Linked DNA regions of Drosophila melanogaster. The protein of the gene in region 1 interacts with the protein of each later gene in a pairwise test. Each region holds a gene or a part of one and is shown in the gene's direction. Other genes may lie near its edges.

Region 1 (5,549 bases):
TAGACAAAAATCCTGCGCAGGAAAAGAACAATTGGATTTGCAAAAGCAAACCAAAGAAATAGCTTCAGAGCCCAACGTATACGAAGTCATAACAAATGACGAGGTACGAAAAGTAGTGACATTGCAATTGAATGACTCGATATGTTTATTTAAACATGGAAAGAAAATTATTGCAAGATATGATGTTGGTGATCTTTATACTAATGGAATTCTTGATTTAGATCAATTTCTCCAAAGGCTTGAATTGCAGGCCGGTATATATGATATCAGCCAAATCAAAATGGCACCGTGGAAAAAAATCTTTGAACACGTTTCAATAGATAAATTTAAAAATATGGGCAATAAAATATTAAAGAATTTAAAAGTAGCGCTACTTAACCCGGTGACCCAAATAAATAATGAAAAAGAAAAAGAAGCTATATTGTCTACATTACATGATGATCCAATACAAGGAGGGCATACAGGCATTACAAAAACCTTGGCCAAGGTCAAAAGACATTATTACTGGAAAAATATGAGTAAATACATAAAAGAGTACGTAAGAAAATGTCAAAAATGCCAAAAAGCAAAAACAACAAAGCACACAAAGACTCCAATGACGATAACTGAAACACCAGAACATGCTTTCGATAGAGTTGTTGTGGACACAATTGGTCCACTACCCAAGTCAGAAAATGGTAACGAGTACGCAGTCACTCTCATATGTGATTTAACCAAGTACTTAGTTGCCATACCAATAGCAAATAAAAGCGCAAAAACAGTCGCAAAAGCTATATTTGAATCTTTTATTCTAAAGTACGGTCCAATGAAGACGTTCATAACGGACATGGGAACAGAGTATAAGAATTCAATAATTACTGACCTGTGTAAATATTTGAAAATAAAAAATATAACATCAACAGCTCATCACCACCAGACAGTTGGAGTAGTAGAAAGAAGTCATAGAACTTTAAACGAGTATATACGATCCTACATATCGACGGACAAAACCGATTGGGACGTATGGCTTCAATATTTCGTATACTGCTTCAACACGACCCAATCTATGGTACATAATTATTGTCCATATGAATTAGTTTTCGGTAGAACAAGTAATTTACCAAAACATTTTAATAAACTACATAGCATAGAACCAATATATAACATAGATGATTACGCTAAGGAGAGTAAATATAGGTTAGAGGTAGCATATGCTCGAGCAAGAAAACTTCTTGAAGCACACAAAGAAAAAAATAAAGAAAATTATGACTTAAAAATAAAAGACATAGAATTAGAAGTAGGAGATAAAGTTTTACTAAGAAATGAGGTAGGTCATAAATTAGACTTTAAATATACGGGGCCCTATAAGATAGAAAGCATAGGAGATAATAACAATATTACGCTACTTACTAATAAAAACAAAAAACAAATAGTTCATAAAGATAGATTAAAGAAATTTCATTCATGATTGAATTTAAACTTATATTTTCCTTAATCATTTATACAAATTTTCCATACACTACGTATATTTTTATCTTTGCATTATAAAATCAACTATTGTTGTTCAAACAAAAACACAAACAAAATAAAAATAAAAATAAAATAATTTGCATTTAATAATCAAAATAACTTCACTAGGTTACGTTATTTTTCAAAAGGAGGGAGATGTAGTATGTGCCTATGCAATATTAAGAACAATTAAATAAAATAGCATATTAACTTATGGCAGCACTTTGTTGCTATGTTTATGTTTATGCACGCAGTTAGGCCAGGGCGGATGTAACATGATCACCCACTCGAAGGCCACAAAGTATAAGTGCATTGCCCACTCGAAGGCAAAAAGTATAAGTGCATGGTCAGCATTCACACGCCGACCAAATACATATTACATACGTACATACATATCTCGCTCTCCCGATAAGCCTAGATATATAAGATATACATAAGAACGCCGCTCCGCTGCTGGCGTACCCGGCAGCGCAGCTACGCGGATTAGCCTAAGTCAAAATATATAAAAAACTGTAAAATCGGAGAGACTCTGTAGACGTTGAGCTGACAGAACCATTTCTGCCTACTCTAAAATCAAAAGAAGAAATTGAATAAATATATGTCAGCCCGACGGCTGCCTTCAACTTAAAACGGACTTGTGTTCTTAATTGGAGTTCATCATTACACGAGAGCAGTTGTAGAACTAAAATTGTTGTGCTATATCGCTAAACGGTGAACGGTAAATATTGAAGAGAGTTTTCCTGGCTTCAATTTTCCTTTGCAATCGCCCCCACCATCCTTGGAATTTTGGGTTTTTTGGAAGAGAAAAACACATGTGGTGTGTCGCCACAGTGTTTTGGTTTTTCTCGGCCGCCCAAGTAGACGGCGCGTAGTTTTTCATTTTGACGGGAGTTTTCCTTTCGGTCGTCGCCTTACACTCATTTCTAATTGTGATTCGTAGGAAGTAAGTTGTCTAGTGCTATATATATATATATTCAAGTAAAATTGTTTTAAATCGGAACACACAACAATAATATATACAAGTAAACACCACTAAATATCGGAAAAGAAAGAAGAGCAAATAATTAAATTACAAAAGAAACCAAGAGAATATCAAGCTAAATCCCATCATCCCATCATCCCATCGTTTTTGGTCTTCTGGTTCTTGTTCATCACCGACGTTATTGATATTGATATTGAATACTGGATATTAAGATACATATATACAAACGCATCGTATCTGGGATAAACGTTCATCACAAGGAATATTAATGATACGCAAAGGCTGTAACTGTAAACTGTGTCCCCTCTCACGTAAGACGTAACGTAAGGCAGCCTGTGGAAACGACGTAGTTTGGACGCAATCAGAAAAATCTCCAAGGAGGACGCAGCTAACGGTGAGTTTTCCTGATGACAGAACAGGGGATTGCTTTTGGGTGGGGGGAGGATGAATGTCACTCGCAGGGAAAATGAAAAATGCCAGGCGAAAATTCTTGGCCATGCAACTCGTTTGGCCGCTCTGCCTCTTTCGCTCCCGCGTACGCTTATGTGTGTGTTTATGCAGCGGAAAACGTGTATTCTTGAGAAAAACCAGAAAATCGAAACCCGGAATTGGGTCAGTATGTCACACGCCGTCCCGCTCCCACCGATTCCAATTCCGATTCCGATTCGAGCTGCTAGTCTGGCTAAAAACTCTGGCTAAAACGTGTTTCGTGCTTAGTCAATTTGTTCTTTTTCATCTAGTCGCAGCTGCGCTGCCGCAGTTGGCGTCGCTGCACGGCCACTTGACTAAAAGCGGCCTAAACAGCATCGCCTCCAGAATGCCTAAAAAACAAAACAACAACATGTAGTGCCGCTGCACGTGTGCGAAAGAGAGGGCGGCGAAAGGTGGGAAAAAGACAGAATGTCTGTCACCCGCGCGACCAACTTAAATACCCTGTACTTATGTGAGGGAATATTGTAGAACAGCTTATTAGTATAGATTCTACACAATAAAACCGTTTAATCATATCACGAAATATTGATAATTAGTACATACAAAACATATGTGGTTTTGTCAGCATAACAAATAATATTATAATAATATAAGGTCAATACATGAGATTTTTAGGCCCTAATATAATTTTCCTAGAGGCAGAACTGCTTTTTTATTTATTATTAATTGCTAGATTCTTTTATACAAAGATAGTTACTTTTTAACTTACACATGTATGTACATATGTATGTGAATGTACATATATGTATATGCTGAGTATCTCCTATTCGCCAGCTTATCTTTTGTGATGTAAAATGATAAATGGCTCGCTCTCCGACTTTCGTAGTTTTGCCTCTCTCTAGTTTTTCGGCCACTCGCTTCACTTGATCTTGCACTCGGATTTCGGCCGAGTTGCAGTCGACAGCGCTGTCAGCGTCGACGGCGACTGCGGCGGCGGCGCTTTTACCTTGAGCACGCCTGCACTTGTCACAGCCCCTCCCCCCGCCCACCGACTCACACGCCGTTTGAATTTGAACTTCTGAAAAAGCCAACACCTTTCGAAATTGTAGCCGCTTTTATTTCTTTTTCTTTTGCCTCCGAGCAGCGGCATTTTTATATTTCTGATGTTTGCTAATAAAATTATTACGACTTGGCCGACAGCGGCTGCTAATGCGTTTTAAGGTCGCCGACGCTGCTCTTGTTGATTTTGATCCAATAAAAAAATGTGATGATGCCCCGCTTAGATTTCTCGGTCCATTTAACATGTGTCCATTGGCCCAGGATCCGATTTGATTTATTTCAAAGTTATTTATTATACAGTCAGGCGAAAAGCAAAACAAACATGAATGGGGAAAATTGAAGGCAAATGGCAGACAGCTGGTGCTCATTTTCCGGGATGCGAAAAAGGGATAGAATTGGGATAGTGCACTGAGAAAAATCAGTGAAAGAGTTCATATCATATCATACTGCATATGTTTGCATCTCAAGAATCTCTTTGTATGAGTAGAGATCAAATGGATAAGGAAACAGCTTTCGTTCATGAGATGTCTATCTCTAAAAACTACTTATAGGTGGAAATTTATTCTAGACAAGGGTAGAGAGCACTGCAAATACGTATCCAAAAACAACTCCCCAGATAATTCATCATTACATCATAACCGTTGCGAATTCATGACTAATGGCCGATGATTTTTCTCTCTGTGGGGAATACGCGACGTCGTGGGATAGGGATAACAACACGGAAGAGGCTCCATTATAGGTTGCTGGTTTACTAGTTAACTGGGCTCCAGCCAAGGGAGCGAAAGGGAAAGGTGACGAACGAGAGGGAGAGAGCGAGAGAGCTAGGGGGAATCTGAATTACAGAGAGTGGGCGGGGGTGGTGACACTGACAGTGGAGCACCTTCGTCATCGTCAAACATTCGGGCTGTATAAGAGCAATAAATAATGCACACGAAGAGCAGTGATGAGAGCCAATGATATGGGAAAATATCGGACGAGAAATTCGACAGAGAGAGAGAGAGAGAGAGAAAGCGGAGAGAAATTTGGGGGGCGAGCGTAAGAGATTCGCCTTGGGGGGTTGATTGTGTTTAATTTTTGCACTTAAGAGCGCAAAAAGTGGCTTTGATTTTCCGCCGGCCCTTCTCACGCAGCTTGGGGCATGCCAACTTTGATGGCCGATTTGACCAACCCCCAGGAGGGAATTCCCAACTTGGCTCATTAAATTGATAACATTAAGCAGGCGATATTTAATTTGATTTTCTCCAGACACAAACACAATCTGATACACAAATTGTATAGATTCTATAAGTTATAGTTTTCTGAAGATTTAAACTTAAAACAAAATTACTGTACTGTTTTCATAGTGTAAAATACCTATGCTAATTTTAGTTTTCGTGGCACTTTTAAATATTATACATAAGCATGATAATTTGTCAAAGTTTCTTGTAGTGCATATATTTTTCGCAGAGAGCATCCACTCAAAAATATTTCCGTATTCTTGGCAACATTGTTGTTGGCGATGGGTTAGTGGGCGGAAAAGTGGGTGTTGCGTGGGCAGTCGCCCCACATTTGCATGTTCCCAACACGGCACACATTTTCTCGCTTCTCT
Region 2 (5,434 bases), on another chromosome or scaffold:
ACAAGTGCATAGAATCGGCGAGAGCGGCAGAAGGACATGCAGAAAGAGTGGGCCAAACAAGAAAGAAACTCGTCTTTTGCATCGCTCTAACGGCCTCTTCTTATTGTTTACTTCACTTTTGTTATTACGTGAAGTTGCTGCTGTTTTTGTTGCATTTAAGCACATGCAATATACACTAAAAGAAAATCAGGATTTTCTTCACAAATATAAACATAGATTTACAATTGAATCGAAATGTTTTGTAGAAGTATCGTTATGTTTACTCTTGAGATCCCTAGAATTATATGTAACTTTGGTTTTAAACTGAACGTTTTAAGCTGAATCCTTAGAATTTTATTTATTTTTTAAATAAATATAAAGTTGAATCATTTTTTTCGAGTACTTCTGTGAGTTGGTGAGCAGGGAGAGTACATTCAAGACCCGTTGTCCGCTACATGAGCTATTCTATGGACACTCGACGTCTCTGCCGTGCGACGTTGATTCTATGCTAAATACGAGCAGAACAATGATAATGTCGCATGGTAAATTACATGTAATTATGTATTTTACCAACATTTCCCCATTTCACTGGCGACTCCTCCCCAGCCCAGACACTTTTTCGAGCACTGCTCTTTGCAACATTACCTCAGAACACCGTCGTCCTGTCGCTCGCTGTCCCTGTCACCGCTGTCGACACGAGAAAGTATGTTAATAACGCAAAAAGAGGAGTAATAACGAGGAGAAAAGAGTGCAATAATAGGGAGATACACCTTAAATTGCATCCTTTTTGTTGTCCTGTTTGGATTTAGTTCCAGGGCTACAATTAACGCAAGGCAATTGGCAGCAGGAGAAGCAAAGCTTCTCATGCAATTAATGGTATGTAGCTTATACAAAACATTTCATATTAGTGAAACTAAGTAATAATAACTTCAAAGGTTGTTGCTTTTATCTGACCCTTTTTCACAGTGTTTAGCATATAAGTGTGCTTACAATTGTTGAAAAGCTATTGCTGCTTTATCCTAGTTAGATATTATATTGTTAGATTAGTTTTAAAAGTTAATATTTTATGACCACTTGGACGCAAGGATGGATTCAGATGAAAAAGAATAGAAAATATTAACATCAGCTGGCTGTTCTTAACATTTGCCTTGTCCTGCAACGTATAACAGTTTTCAGGGCATGCCATAAAAATACTGGTATTTTCGAGTGACGAGGCGCAAAAGGACATTTCTGAAGGTTCTATTTAAAGCGACAAGTGGTACGGAAAATCATTATAAAAGCTCTGACTAAATTGGAAACTGAATTTTTACATGTAGATATTACGATTTTAATTTAAAGATATAACATTATATTTTTATTTAAATTATAAATCAGAAAACAAGCCTTGGCAGTCAATTTCAAATGTGGCTGGCGCTTTCGAAAAGCCTGTGCTCTCGGCTGCTCGGATTCTGCGCTCTGTGGCGACGGGAGCCGAAAGGACCTGAAAGGACGAGGCTTGCGACTTGTGAATGGCGCCTGGAGCGAGGAAACGAGCCAGTTGGGATGGCGAGAGGGACGGAGAGAGGGCCGGAGAGCAAGGATTCAGCAAGGAGCAGGCGGCGCGAGTGAGAGCGAGCCATTCGTGAATATTTCATGAACGATGGCTGCGATGGCAGCCAGCTTCGTGCCGCCGTTAACCGAACTCCTCGCCGCCGAAGAGAAATGTAGGGAAACGCATCCCGTCGTCGTCATCGACGGCAGAGGCAGCAGCAGCAGCGGCGACAGCGATTTTCACAGCAGCAGCGACAGCGGGAAAATCGGCAGCCTTTCTGCCGTCGTTGCAGTGGCAGCAGCGCCTCCGAATTTTGGCCAATGCGTGTGCTCCTGGCGTTCAGTAAGAAAAGCGTCGCCCAGCGGTCTAGTACGAACGTATACCGAACGCTTTGTATATCCTGTAAATTATATCCTGTGTGTGCGATTGATCACGTCGGCCTGGTTCGTGCGTAGTTCGAAACATAGACTTCACACCTTGCCTTGCCGTAGTGGCAAATTATTCTGGGCTTTGGGCTAGAACCTATTATTTTTTAAAGATCACTCAATCTTAACCTATACACGACATTTATTAAGCTGGTCTTATCACGCACTTGGAGTCAGTGACTTCTAAAGTTGCCAGCAAATTCGCGCGCGACAAAAACTCAGAGGCTGCCGGCAAAATAATAATTGCCATTGCAGCCAGCTACTTGAAACTTTCCCAGCGACTTTGAACCGGCTGAGCAGGGCTTCACTTTTTTGTTTGGCATTTTCCCCTGTTATTTTCTCACATATTTTCATTTTTTTTTTTTTTTTCATATTTTCGTTTTCTTTTTTGGCCTGACATTTTACATACCAGACATTGATATTAAAACAGAAGACGTCTGGCAGGCAGAGAACTGAACTCGTAGTACTACTCGCATGACAGGAATATTTATAATTTCCGCTGCCAGCAGACACAACAGAAAAGAAAGAATAATTTGCGATTACTGGCAGGCAGAAGGCGAAGGAAATCCCTGAAACGATATTACAAGCCAAGTGCGCTTGAGTTCGTGTATTTCCGGTTGAACAAACACATAAGCGAAACATAAAAGAAAGGCGAAAAAAATATACTTACATATTTTCCACATGCCCCCATACTTACGTCGATATATATATATATACATATATGTAGTACATAAATAGAGTAACCAGCCAGCACGAAAAGTGAAAATACATAGAGGCGAAGCAAGGCGAGAGCATATTTCATAAGTTTGCACTCCGCACACATAGAAAGTAGAAAGCAGCGACGAGAGCCAGAGAAAGCTGGCGACAAAGGCTAACGCACGACCTTTGGCACCGAGTTCAGATCCTGCGGAGGAGTCAGCAGCAAATCAATAAAGACAAAGACTCCCAGCCAGAGCAACTGCATCACCAGCCAACCCAGCTTCGCTTCCCGAGTCCAGCGACCAAAATTCACTCGCAAATTATGCTGACCATGTCGACCCTGATGATGCCAGCACCGACCATAGCCATGGGTGCCCCGCAGATCACAATGGGTCCGCACAAGCCGCCGGAAACGAAGCTGTTGGCCATCCATCCCGCTGCAGCGGCCGCAGCAGCCGCCCAGCAGCAGCAGCAGTCGGTGACAGCTGCTCATTTGCAGCACAATGGCCAACAGCAGCACTCGCAGCAGCAACAGCAACAGCAAATGTCGCAACAGCAACAGCAGCAGCAGCAGCAGCTCGTGGGCAACAACTCCAAGCCAGGTGAGTGGAAAAGCGAGTTTCCCGGGGTGAATGTCCTTTTCGTCCCGTTTCGGTTCTCGGTCTTGGTCTCGGTTTCGTTTTCGATTTCGGTTTCGGCGCAATTTCCACCGGCAAAAGGTGTTGCATAAATTGAGAAATGTCTCTGCCACTTTGCCCCTGAGACGTGTTTCGAATGCGGCAGACAACGATCTGCGTTTTGTTCTGGGGGGTACTATTCGCATCAACAACTGGAATAAATTTTCAATAGACAACGATTTCATTCAGCGACTAAACTTGTGTTTATTTGCAATATCAAAACTTAATTAAATGCATCATAACGGACTGGGCTGCAACCAAATAACCCAATTTTCTTTCTGATATTGGGAATGAAGGCAAATCTATGAAAATTGACAAATATTTTTGCCTAATTTATTGAAATGTCTATATGAAAACTCTGGGAAATGCAAACCGTTTAATATCATGTAAAGACCAATAAATCAAGTATTATTCTCAACAAAAAAAAAAACAAAAACGCCATCATAGTCATTTGCAATTCTAAACGTATTCAGATTGGGCTTCAGTTAGGATTTAATTGAATGAATTTTATTTTGCGATATAATTGCATTTCATTTTCAGCCAAGGATTTGTGCAGGCTTAAAAAGTTAGCAAATCATTCAAACACGGCCATGGCAAAAAATAATTTATCCTATTAGTTGTATCCTAATGAAATGCTGTTTGTGCTAAAATGTGTTCTATTTGTCAAATTTGTGCATTTATCTTAAAGAGCAATAAATTAGAGTATGCAAAATAACACAATATGCTACATATTATATATAATAATAAAATGCGAAACTTTAAAATAAACTAGAATTCAAGTGCAGCAAAAACTTCAAGCAAAAGCTCAGTTAACAACAACCTCTAGAGAAATAACAACAGCTTACGTATTCACAACAATGTCTGAACAATTACAATTCAAACCAAAAAACACCCCAGGCGATCGATATCAGGGCACGATAACGTACATATTTATAGAAATTTTGTATGCGTCAGATGGCCAAAATCATACTGGCAACACATTCAATTAAACGTGGCCCAGTCAGTCGGAAGTCAAGGAGGCAGATTTCGAAAATACCAATAGAGCACACGTATCACTTTCGGGCAGTTTTAAATGAGTAAAATTCCAAGGGGCCAAATTCGCACACGTAATCCGAAAAATAACAAACTCGAACACGCATTTCAGAGATGAATTATTGTGGACACCACCCCTCTGGGCTGAAAATGTCAAGCGTAGGCATTACAAGCATAAATATCAGTTACAATTTTCATATTTTTAACCACAAATGAAAAATTTGATACAGCTTGGGCAGGCAGGGGAAATTGCATGCCCGTAGAGATTTACAACTTAAAAACAACTTAAGCCGAAACTTGGAAACAAAGGCAGCAGCGATAGAGACAGAAACTGGGACTATTCTCCAATTTGTTGGCTCTACCAGCCCCGGCCCCAACAACACCCCTAAGTCCCTCAAACCGACAACGGTTGCTAATGGCAAAAACTATACACAAATAGACACTGGCAGGCATAAAACCGGAAACAACGGCACAGGAAGCTGCATGAAAATGAAACGAGGAAAAGCGGCCAGGCAAACCAGCCGGCCTGACTTTGGGCTGTAATGAAAAATGGAAAATGTCTACTACTACGACTGGGACGACTAAAAATAGTGAAAAGTTGAGTGTGCGTCGGTGTGGCATCTCGTTGAGTCGAAAGCCGGCAGAAAGGCAGCAAGAGCAACTTGAAAATGAATTTAATTATGGCAAAAAAGTGAAAATTTCCACACTTGAGTCTGCGAAGTTTGCCTTTCCCTTTGGCCGCCGGAGCGTTGATGAGCGGCTGAAAAGTGTGAGAAAATTACTAGACAAGACAACACCAACTGGCGGGCAGGGAACATAAATAGAAGCCGGGGCGAAAGTGAAGAGTCCGCCGGTTCCGGGCATTGTGTAAGTTAGCTTAATGCGGCCTGGCTTACTATAAGTCTGAGAAATAGAGGGAGGAAATTCCGGGAAAACGAGTGCGAAAGTGGAGCAAATTCGTTAGTTGTTAACCAGCACAAAAAATATAGATGGAGAGTCATTTCCAGGACAATTGACTTTGCGATGATCCGCACTTATCCACTAATTAGCGGGGAAATAGAAAAAGTCGATGGCAGCACTATAGCCAAGTG
Region 3 (5,454 bases), 6.2 Mb from region 1:
CCTCCTTGGGTTTTCTTTGGCCGCCTTGACCAGTCATGAATATAAATTATGCCCTAAGTGACAGGAGGAGGCTGTTATGGCAAAACAATCATAAAAGACACCCGGCGAATCGCTTTTAGCTTTTAATAGTGTTGCCTATGCGCAACGCAGAGAATAGCGTTTGATAATGTATGCGAAAAAATATTTTCACATTATTTTATAGACTGTTAAAATATTTACCTAGTCATAAAATAAAAGAGATTTTAAATATGGCTTTGCAAATATTATTTATAAGTAATACTATTTTTTAGTCCCTTGAAGATGGTCCAGATAATTAAAAGGTAGTAAAATTAAGATAATTATTAAAAAATTTTCTTAATTATTTGGAGTATTAAAATTGATAATTAGTAAAATTGGTCCGGGTTTTTAATCAACATATAAACAATAAATAAACAAACTTGTGTAATATTACTTAGCTTCTGTCAGCTAGCAATCGAAGATCACAACCAAAAGGCGAAACGACCGAGTTTTTCTAGCGTTTTCGAGGCGGTTCCGATACGTTTCTTGGTTTAGAGGAGATACTTCATAAAATAGGCCGATCTTTAAGCGGATCGACCCTAAGCACCTTTAGCCATTACGTCACGGGCAGCGGGTGATGTTCGGCGAGCTAGTGGGCCAAAAATAATGGAAAAGAGGTACAAATTGCCCAGGGCAATCGACGGCTTTAATGGTTTCATTGGCCAACCGGCGGCATTGAGTTGGTGGACCCAGCCCCTAATTAACCCTTTCGCAATTGCAGCTAAGCCTTAAAACGGCGGTGGGAAGTTGGGGGAGTGGCCCCTCCACGTGTTATATACATATGTAGCCGCGATAGTTTTAGGTATAAAATGATACCTTTGGTCCCGATACCTTGGGCTCGGAGTTTGATTAATGAGCGGCTTAAGTGAATCTCAAATCGAATCTGAGCCTGCTCGGCCGGCAGACTGATGAAGTCACTAATTTGACTTAAAAACGCATTAAAAACCATTTTCGATAAGAGCTTGGAGCCCCATATTGTGATTTCGGCGAGGGTTTTCCCGTACTTTTCTGTCTAGGTCTCGTCTTTGTGAAAGTTGTGCAAAATTGGAGCCAAGAAACCAAAATTGAACGATGAAGCACCCAAGGCGACGGATAAAATTCCAAAACCGCCTCGGAAGATTTGAGAGTGCAAATCTCTTGCTATTGGCAATCAGCTGTAAACATAAATAATGTTCGAGTTTGCGGAGAGTGGACTAACTGGATACCCAGTGAGTAAATCATGTAACCATACTCATTTTTATCACTAATTATCGAATTTAAATAATTCATTTCATTTTCTGAAAATCTTGAAAATCTTACTAGATATATTTCGGTCTATTTGGCTTATACTTTGAACCATAAAAATAATTTAGGCCTTTGATAGTTTAAAACTATTTTACGGTATACATCTCTTTCAACCTTTTTAAAAATTAAATTTATTTGTTTTTTTCTAATTATGTACACACATATTGCATATTCAATACTTTAAAATAAATTGACAGAGAAATTACTGCTCAGCGCTTTCTTCTTGGTTAAAAAGTATTGTAAATATTTATTAGGAATGAAAAAAAAAAAAATAATTCCCAATATACCTGTGCTGAAATATTACCCATAATTCCAGCTTTGGCAACGCGCAAAATTGATTTAAATGCCTTCGACGAGAGACAAAATCGGAGGTAACTCCTACAATTGTGCGTGGTCTTGGCCATTAAAAGCCTTTTCTTGCCAACATTCAATGTCTGTGCCGGAGGCAGCGCCAAATCAAATCAACGGCAGCAGTCACAAATCTGCGACAGATAAAAGCTGTTAACTGACCTTCATTGGCCATAAAAATCCAAATTCATCGCCCGAACAATGCGCCGTATCTATGGGCCAAAACCGGCGGCAACGACGAACAACAATTGGCGAGCAGAAAAATTAACAATTTAAATAAATTCACTTTATTGCAGTTCGCATATTGGCGACAATGTAAAATAAACAATAAAAGTGGTCAATAAATAAGGCCCACGTCATATCGAATGGCCCGAACCACTGGACTTCCGGTCTTGAATCGGGCCAAAAAAGAAAAAGAAAACCGCACCACATATCACATTATACTATGTGGCCAACGACATGAATCACGGGCCAAAAAGTTCAAAGTTGAGCGGGCTAAATTGAGAGATTAGCCTGGGAGATCAGAGCCGGCTATATCTTTTGCTATATAGCTCTGCTCTGACCCAAGCTCTGCTTTTCTCTGCCTCTTTTCCCGAGTTTGCGGCTCTGGGCCGCTGTTAACTTGGCTAAGACCGCTCAGTTGGCTACGAGCTGCCGCCGTGAGCATTGGCAAACGCGTGAAACGGAAAAGACGAAAACGAAATCGAAATCGAAAACCTAAAGTCCAAAAACCGAAATATCCGCGCTCTTCGGTACGTGTTAAGTTTTTTAATTAGTAGAATTTTCAAGTGAGTGTTCGGTGGCAAAAAAAGAGAAAATATTTCACTGAAATACAAAGAGCATAGCTAAGCTCGACAAAAGTGCACATAGTGATCAAAAACATTTGCCAAATACTGTGAAGCAAAAACCCAAACAAATCTACAAGCCGCACACTAGGTGAGTAATTATTAAATTGAATACTTTAATTCCCGCCATAAGTTAATAAATTTCATTGGTTCGTCATCGCAGCTCTGATTTATTATAACGCTTGATTGTTTTCCTTCTTTTTGTATACACTTGTAACCAAAATGTTAGGAAACCAGCAAACACAAATTAAATCAAAGCGATCACAAAACAAAATCCACAAAAAATGCAGACAACACTTTGGGTAAATACAAACAAAATATAATCAAGTGGGGAGAAAAAACCTTGAAAAGTCGTGCTTAATTTCTTAGCTAAATGCAGGCATAAAATATATGTTTAAAAAATTATAATGAAGCTCAGCTATTTGTCTGCCTCCAATCGAATCCATTGTTTTAGTCCCTAAATTAGCTTCAAATAACCCAACCTCTTTGTGAAGGAAAATAATTCAGAGGCTTTGGAAAAAATGCCCGAAGCAGAAGTCTGTCTCTTTGATAGTTTATTTAATGGATAGAAGTAAGGATAGATATTGTGGAAAGTATACAAGTTTACCAATTAAATAAACTAGAGAGCTTAAAACTTTCCTGTGTCAAACACTCGCGTAATAAAAACTTAATAAGCAATCATTATTATTAAATAGCTTTATAATTAATTAGCAGCATTTCGTTTCATTCAGCTCTTTTTTTTAGCCTGCTAATGCTTCAATTAGATGCCAACAAAATATTTTATCCCCTTAAAAAAGTGCCAATCGGGTGAATAAGTGAGAATGTCTGGGCGAGACAAAGATAAAGATCTGACAATCGATCATTACTCAGGCGGGATATAATTAATTAAATATAGATAGATGATTTTGCGGCCAAATCATTCAAATAAATTGAATGGGGCCCAGCGATTTTGAGCACTCAATTTCGAAAATGATGCCGCAGCCAATGGATTAGCCGCTAAAGCTTGGTCAAAGATCTTTAACAATTTCATTAACTTTTGGCCCGTCGGCCTAATGATGTGCAAATGGCCCAAAACACACCATAAAACACGCTGCCACTAAAGTTGCCAAGGGAAACAATGCCAAAACCCATGTCCAACTTCTTTTGGCTGCTCTGTGATTTATGAGGTGATCGCCTGGCGCAACTTTGGCATCGGGGAAATACCAGCAATACGTGGGTGTAGCCATGTGCAAGACTCCATTAGCAGATCGCAGACACTAAATCTGGCTTCGATGCACAGCAGAAAACATGGTTGGAAACGTGGTTTCAAAATACCTAAGCTATTTTAATCTCAGAGAAATATGTGTTATTATATGTATATATAAAATTGTATAAGCATTTAAAGCCCAGCTCAACTACTAAACAACATTTTGTGTTTCAAACTTCTGTTTGATACTTTAATATGCCGTGAATGTTCATTTATTATAATTGTTTTCTTTATTTTTTCATTTTTAATATTATTAATATAATTATTTCCTGTGTACCTTGACGGACACTTTGTCATTGGCTCTTGTTTGTTGACTGATTTGTTTTGCTTGGCTCGTGCAAAAGAGCCTGTGATCCCGGAAATCCTATCGCAGCTTGTGGCAGGTGTTTTTGTATCGGTATAAATTCCAATTGATTCTTGAATGCTCGCTGTTTTTACAGGCACCCCATGTCTGAGTGTTAAAGGCAATTGTTATTGCTTTTTGTTCTATAAATAATTGTGGTACACATTATATTGAAACTATAGCAAAACTTGACACGAAATCCGGTTTTTACCATTGACTGTGACAGCTTTAGATTTGATCACTTGTTAGCATTGTTACATTATAATAATTAAAATATTTGTATAACATTTTTTGTTAATTTTTAGCTCACTTTCGTTAGTTATGTCAGCTGTTAATTAACATTTAATTACGGGATTTTTAATTTTCCCAGATTTTAAAAGTTGATTTCATACGGGAAACATGTTGGGAATTTTTCTTTGAGCTTCTTGTTCATATAAAAGCATTGCTAACTATCGAAATCTAGTCAAAGTTATCTCATAGTTTCCGCAATAAAAACTGCTTGTATTATTATATATATATTCTCTCCAACAGTTGGTAATATATCACTTTAAATATGCAAAATATCTTGCATTGATCTAAACTTAAATTGTCTATAAAACATCCGATTTAAATACCGGCATATTGAAATTCCGTTTTAGAGTCCTAATAAATCATTAGAGTTTATAAGTATTGTCATTAGCTGACAGCTCGGGTCGCCAATTGAGAACGCCCCCACAATGCATGGGGCGTGTCCAGTCCATTATCTTCGCGGCGTATACTTAATCTGCGTATACTTAATCTTGTTGTCTGGAGCTTGTTCGTCACTTTCACTTTTGGCAATTTATTTTCGCTATTTACGGGAGTTGTTCGAGTTGTTTGGCTGTTGTTTGCTCAAGAGGCTGTCGGTGGTGTAGTTCGTGTTTGTGTTATTGTTTTAGTTGTTGATTGTTTAACTTAACAATAAGCCCAAGTGAACTGTGGGCAACAAATAAGCACTTTGAAGCATTTCCGCTGCGGAAAAACCATCACTTATTGTCTGTTTCGTGTCCCAATGGAAATGGTGCGAGAAATGGTCGTGTATTTGCCATTTTTTTGCGACTAATATTTGACCAAATAACTCATGGCAGTTTCTCTTTCGCTTCAGGTTTCCGAATTCACGTTGAAGACACTGGCTGAATCGCAATCGAGTCAAATGCAAATGCAAATCGACGGCGAATGAATTGACAATGACAAAAAGTATTAAACGTCCGCCCCCCTTTAGTTGTAAACAAGTTCTTCTTACCTATGTGGTGAGTATTCCTTCTCCCAGTACTCCTTATTATACTTCAAAATCTCCTTTCTCCAGATATTAG
Region 4 (3,729 bases), on another chromosome or scaffold:
ACAAAACACTCTAGTCTTTCGTGATATATGTCTACATTTTTGTATGCATTTTTTTATTGGTGCTGTCAATAAATAAATGAACAGTTATAATAAAGCCAACAATTCTATATATGTACAGCGTCGATTTTAGCCAGGATCTAGTGGTGGTAGGCGACGGCGGGAGCCGAGTACGAGGTGTAGGTGGCAGCGGGGGCGGCATAGTGGGCGGGAGCTGCGTAGTGGGTGGGAGCAGCATAGGTGGCATATGCAGCGGGGGCAGCATAGTGAGCCACTGGGGCCACAGTCTTGACCACAGCAGGAGCAGCGTAGTGGGCAACTGGAGCAACGGTCTTGACCACAGCGGGAGCAGCGTAGTGGGCGACAGCAGGGGCGGCGTATTGGGCAACGGGAGCGGCGACGGTCTTCACAACGGGGGCAACGGCGACGGCCTTGACCAGGGGCTCACGGTTGACAACGGCGTTGAATCCGTTGATGGGATCGGCGGTGTACTGGACGGTCCTCTTGTAGCCGTCAGCGTCGATCAGGGAGTACTCTCCGCGTACCACATCTCCATCGCGCTCCTCCACCTGTCCCTTGTTGTCACCGGTTAGCTTGTCATCGACTCCGTAGGAGAAGCGGTACTGGGGGTGGGGGTCGTACTCCTCGGCGGCCTTGACCACGACCTTTTGGGCGACGGCCACGGGGGCGTGGGCGTAGGTGGCCACCGCTGGGGCAGCATGGTACACCTGTGGGGCGGCGATGGGAGCATAACCGGCGCTGGCCACGGCGACGAAGGCGAGGGCGAAGACAAACTAAATTCAAGAGCGTTAGATATCCAACCGGAATTTCGTATACAGTTGATCCCGGATTTCCATCGAGATGACTCACCTTGAAGGCCATGTTGCTAGGAGTGCTGATTGGTAGTTCTTTACAGAAGTGAACTGGATCTGCGAATGATACTTTTCTGTGTCCGATCGACAACTTTTATAGTAAATCAAGCTGCCAGCTCTGCTCTGCTTTGGCCCAATACGCCGACAGCACGTGTTATTTTCGCGGTGACAGCGAAATATATTAAATGCTTCTCGACTGCGATTGTTGTCGGGCAATAACTTGTACTTCCTGTTCGTGGCGCTAAGCTCAGTGGGTGTGCAAATGCTTGTGGCCACAGATTCTAAACCCGTCAGCACCGAAAGAGTGAAAGATCTTTGGGGAAAGGTTTGCGTAATACCGAAAGGGCTTTGCCGGCCGCAATGTGTGGCTAATTACTTTGTTATATAACGCTGTATAAGATCGCTTTAAGAAGATATACTGATCATATATTTTTTTCTTACAAAGCAAATCGCAAAATTTTGATTAGGTTTTTTTAAAGATTTTCGAATCTTTAGAGTTCACTGTGCAATCTGATTGATATTCTTTAAATACTCTATACATATATGATTATAATTATACGAACGGATTTGCAATCTTAAAGAGTTGAATGAACTTTACACTGTGCTGGATAAGAAAAAACTCTTGAAAAAAGATTAATATTTTTTGAAATTGGTTGACACTACAAAAACTGTGGTTCTAAAAACTAAAAGCTAAGTTGGGTCTGCGTTAGTGTCCTAAGGAACACAACTACTTAGCTACATCTAAATACCTAACATTCTATTTACACTCAGATAATAATTTATCAGATACACATTTAAGAGTTTGGCATTTATGGGTCTTAGAACATAAACGTTAAAAATATATTACACAATGCATTATTTTTGTACAATATATAGAAAATCGCTGCTTCATTCAAAATAAATGCCCTTTTGCGAAGTCTGTGGGAATCAAGGCCACCCACCAGACATCCACGATCCCATCCTTAAAATATCTTGGATAATCGAAACGCTATTAGCAGATGCAATCCATTCCCAACTACCAATTTTAACGTGGGCACCGCGCGAATCCGCCGAATCCTTTCTAAATAATTGGACTGCATCTCGCATTCGCAAATCCCTTCTCCTCTCTTGGTTCTCTGCCGGCGTCTCTGCCGACTTTGCCGTTGACTTCGCAGAGCGGTGACTTCGCGCTAATTTGGAGCATGATATTCAGAAGGCCAAGCGTAAGCACCTTGCTTCACCTGAGCAGAAACTGCAAGCGGGAGCTATAAAACCGCTGGCCGGCCAGAAACCGTATCATTCAGCCATCAGCACCGTTTCCGCAAAGAACTAACCCACGAATCCAAAAACCCTATAAAATGGCATTCAAGGTGAGTCCTGTGGTATCCCACCAGAACCCGTTTCTCTAACGAATATGTTCCCCAGTTTGTCTTCGCCCTCGCCTTCGTCGCCGTGGCCAGCGCCGGTTATGCCCCCATCGCCGCCCCACAGGTGTACCACGCTGCCCCAGCGGTGGCCACCTACGCCCACGCCCCCGTGGCCGTCGCCCAGAAGGTCGTGGTCAAGGCCGCCGAGGAGTACGACCCCCACCCCCAGTACCGCTTCTCCTACGGAGTCGATGACAAGCTAACCGGTGACAACAAGGGACAGGTGGAGGAGCGCGATGGAGATGTGGTACGCGGAGAGTACTCCCTGATCGACGCTGACGGCTACAAGAGGATCGTCCAGTACACCGCCGATCCCATCAACGGATTCAACGCCGTTGTCAACCGTGAGCCCCTGGTCAAGGCCGTCGCCGTTGCCCCCGTTGTGAAGACCGTCGCCGCTCCCGTTGCCCAATACGCCGCCCCTGCTGTCGCCCACTACGCTGCTCCCGCTGTGGTCAAGACCGTGGCTCCAGTTGCCCACTACGCTGCTCCTGCTGTGGTCAAGACTGTGGCCCCAGTGGCTCACTATGCTGCCCCCGCTGCATATGCCACCTATGCTGCTCCCACCCACTACGCCGCCCCCGCTGTTGCCTACCACCCCTGAGAACTGACATTCCACATTGCCCAGCTCTTTATTGTTATAGTTTTACGAACGACTTCTATATATATAAAAATATATTTCACATTTAAAAAGGTTATATCACTGTATCCTATCCAAAGGATATGTATTTCCTGGGGCTCAATTCGATTCACGAAGCAATACAATTTATTGTAATTACTTTTGCTTCGTGAGGGCTAAATTAGAGTGGCTGTGTGGCCAATTAATTGAATTAGGCTGCGACATTGAAATTCCAAATTCCAAAATTCCAAAGTTTTAAAGTCAAATTGAATTTTTTCTTTCAATCGCTCCATTCCATTGAGATATCTATGATGTTCGATTCGGGTCTGGACGTTGGCCAATCCTATCAACGAATAATAAATCATAATCAGATCGGTGTGAAATATTCATGTGTGCTTATAAAAGCAATTAACGGATATATAATATAAACGATTTTTTCGTTTGCCGGATTTCGATTTGATTTTGCTAAATGGAACTTCAGTGACCGGCTTTCCCATTCCCCTCTTTGCTCGTACCTATTACCATTAATTTTTTGTATTTAAACAATAGAATAGACTGACTACAAATAGTACACTTCCAAAAAACTCGTATAGAATCATACTAATTAGAATTATTAAATAGAAATGATGTATCTATGAAACTTGCTGTGATTGTTCAAACTTTTCAAAATGTTCAAGCAAACGCAAACAGCTTAGTTTTATGAATGAGTTCGGTTTTTTGACTGCTGAGATGCAGTGACCTTCATAAGTAACTACCATTTTGTGTAAGGTTTTGCAAATAAGTTTTTATAATAGACGTCAAAACCACGGCATTCCATTCCATTCCATTCCATAGA

What was found.
Region 2: the proteins of bol (region 1) and CG34354 interact in a two-hybrid assay, tested with the Drosophila melanogaster proteins (one large-scale study listed by BioGRID).
Region 3: the proteins of bol (region 1) and spz5 interact in a two-hybrid assay, tested with the Drosophila melanogaster proteins (one large-scale study listed by BioGRID).
Region 4: the proteins of bol (region 1) and Ccp84Aa interact in a two-hybrid assay, tested with the Drosophila melanogaster proteins (one large-scale study listed by BioGRID).

Annotation. Positions count from the first base shown.
Region 1 is NT_037436.4:9,127,212-9,132,760, reverse strand, and holds the start of bol (boule), read left to right. Parts: upstream 1-2,405; 5' UTR 2,406-2,864; intron 2,865-5,549. UniProt on the Drosophila melanogaster protein: RNA-binding protein that plays a central role in spermatogenesis. Required for meiotic entry and germline differentiation, at the transition between G2 and M phases of meiosis I.
Region 2 is NT_033777.3:28,145,016-28,150,449, forward strand, and holds the start of CG34354 (uncharacterized protein), read left to right. Parts: upstream 1-1,864; 5' UTR 1,865-1,912; exon of another isoform or gene 1,913-1,953; intron 1,954-2,484; 5' UTR 2,485-2,956; coding exon 2,957-3,236; intron 3,237-5,434.
Region 3 is NT_037436.4:2,889,038-2,894,491, reverse strand, and holds the start of spz5 (spatzle 5), read left to right. Parts: upstream 1-2,325; 5' UTR 2,326-2,625; intron 2,626-5,246; 5' UTR 5,247-5,328; coding exon 5,329-5,391; intron 5,392-5,447; coding exon 5,448-5,454. UniProt on the Drosophila melanogaster protein: Neurotrophin which may function as a ligand for the Toll-related receptors Toll-6 and Toll-7. Binds to Toll-7 and Toll-6, and probably acts as their ligands in the promotion of motor axon targeting and neuronal survival in the central nervous system (CNS).
Region 4 is NT_033777.3:6,701,941-6,705,669, forward strand, and holds Ccp84Aa (Ccp84Aa), read left to right. Parts: upstream 1-2,143; 5' UTR 2,144-2,206; coding exon 2,207-2,218; intron 2,219-2,273; coding exon 2,274-2,879; 3' UTR 2,880-2,963; downstream 2,964-3,729. Other genes in the region: Ccp84Ab, read right to left, coding at 138-791, 868-879.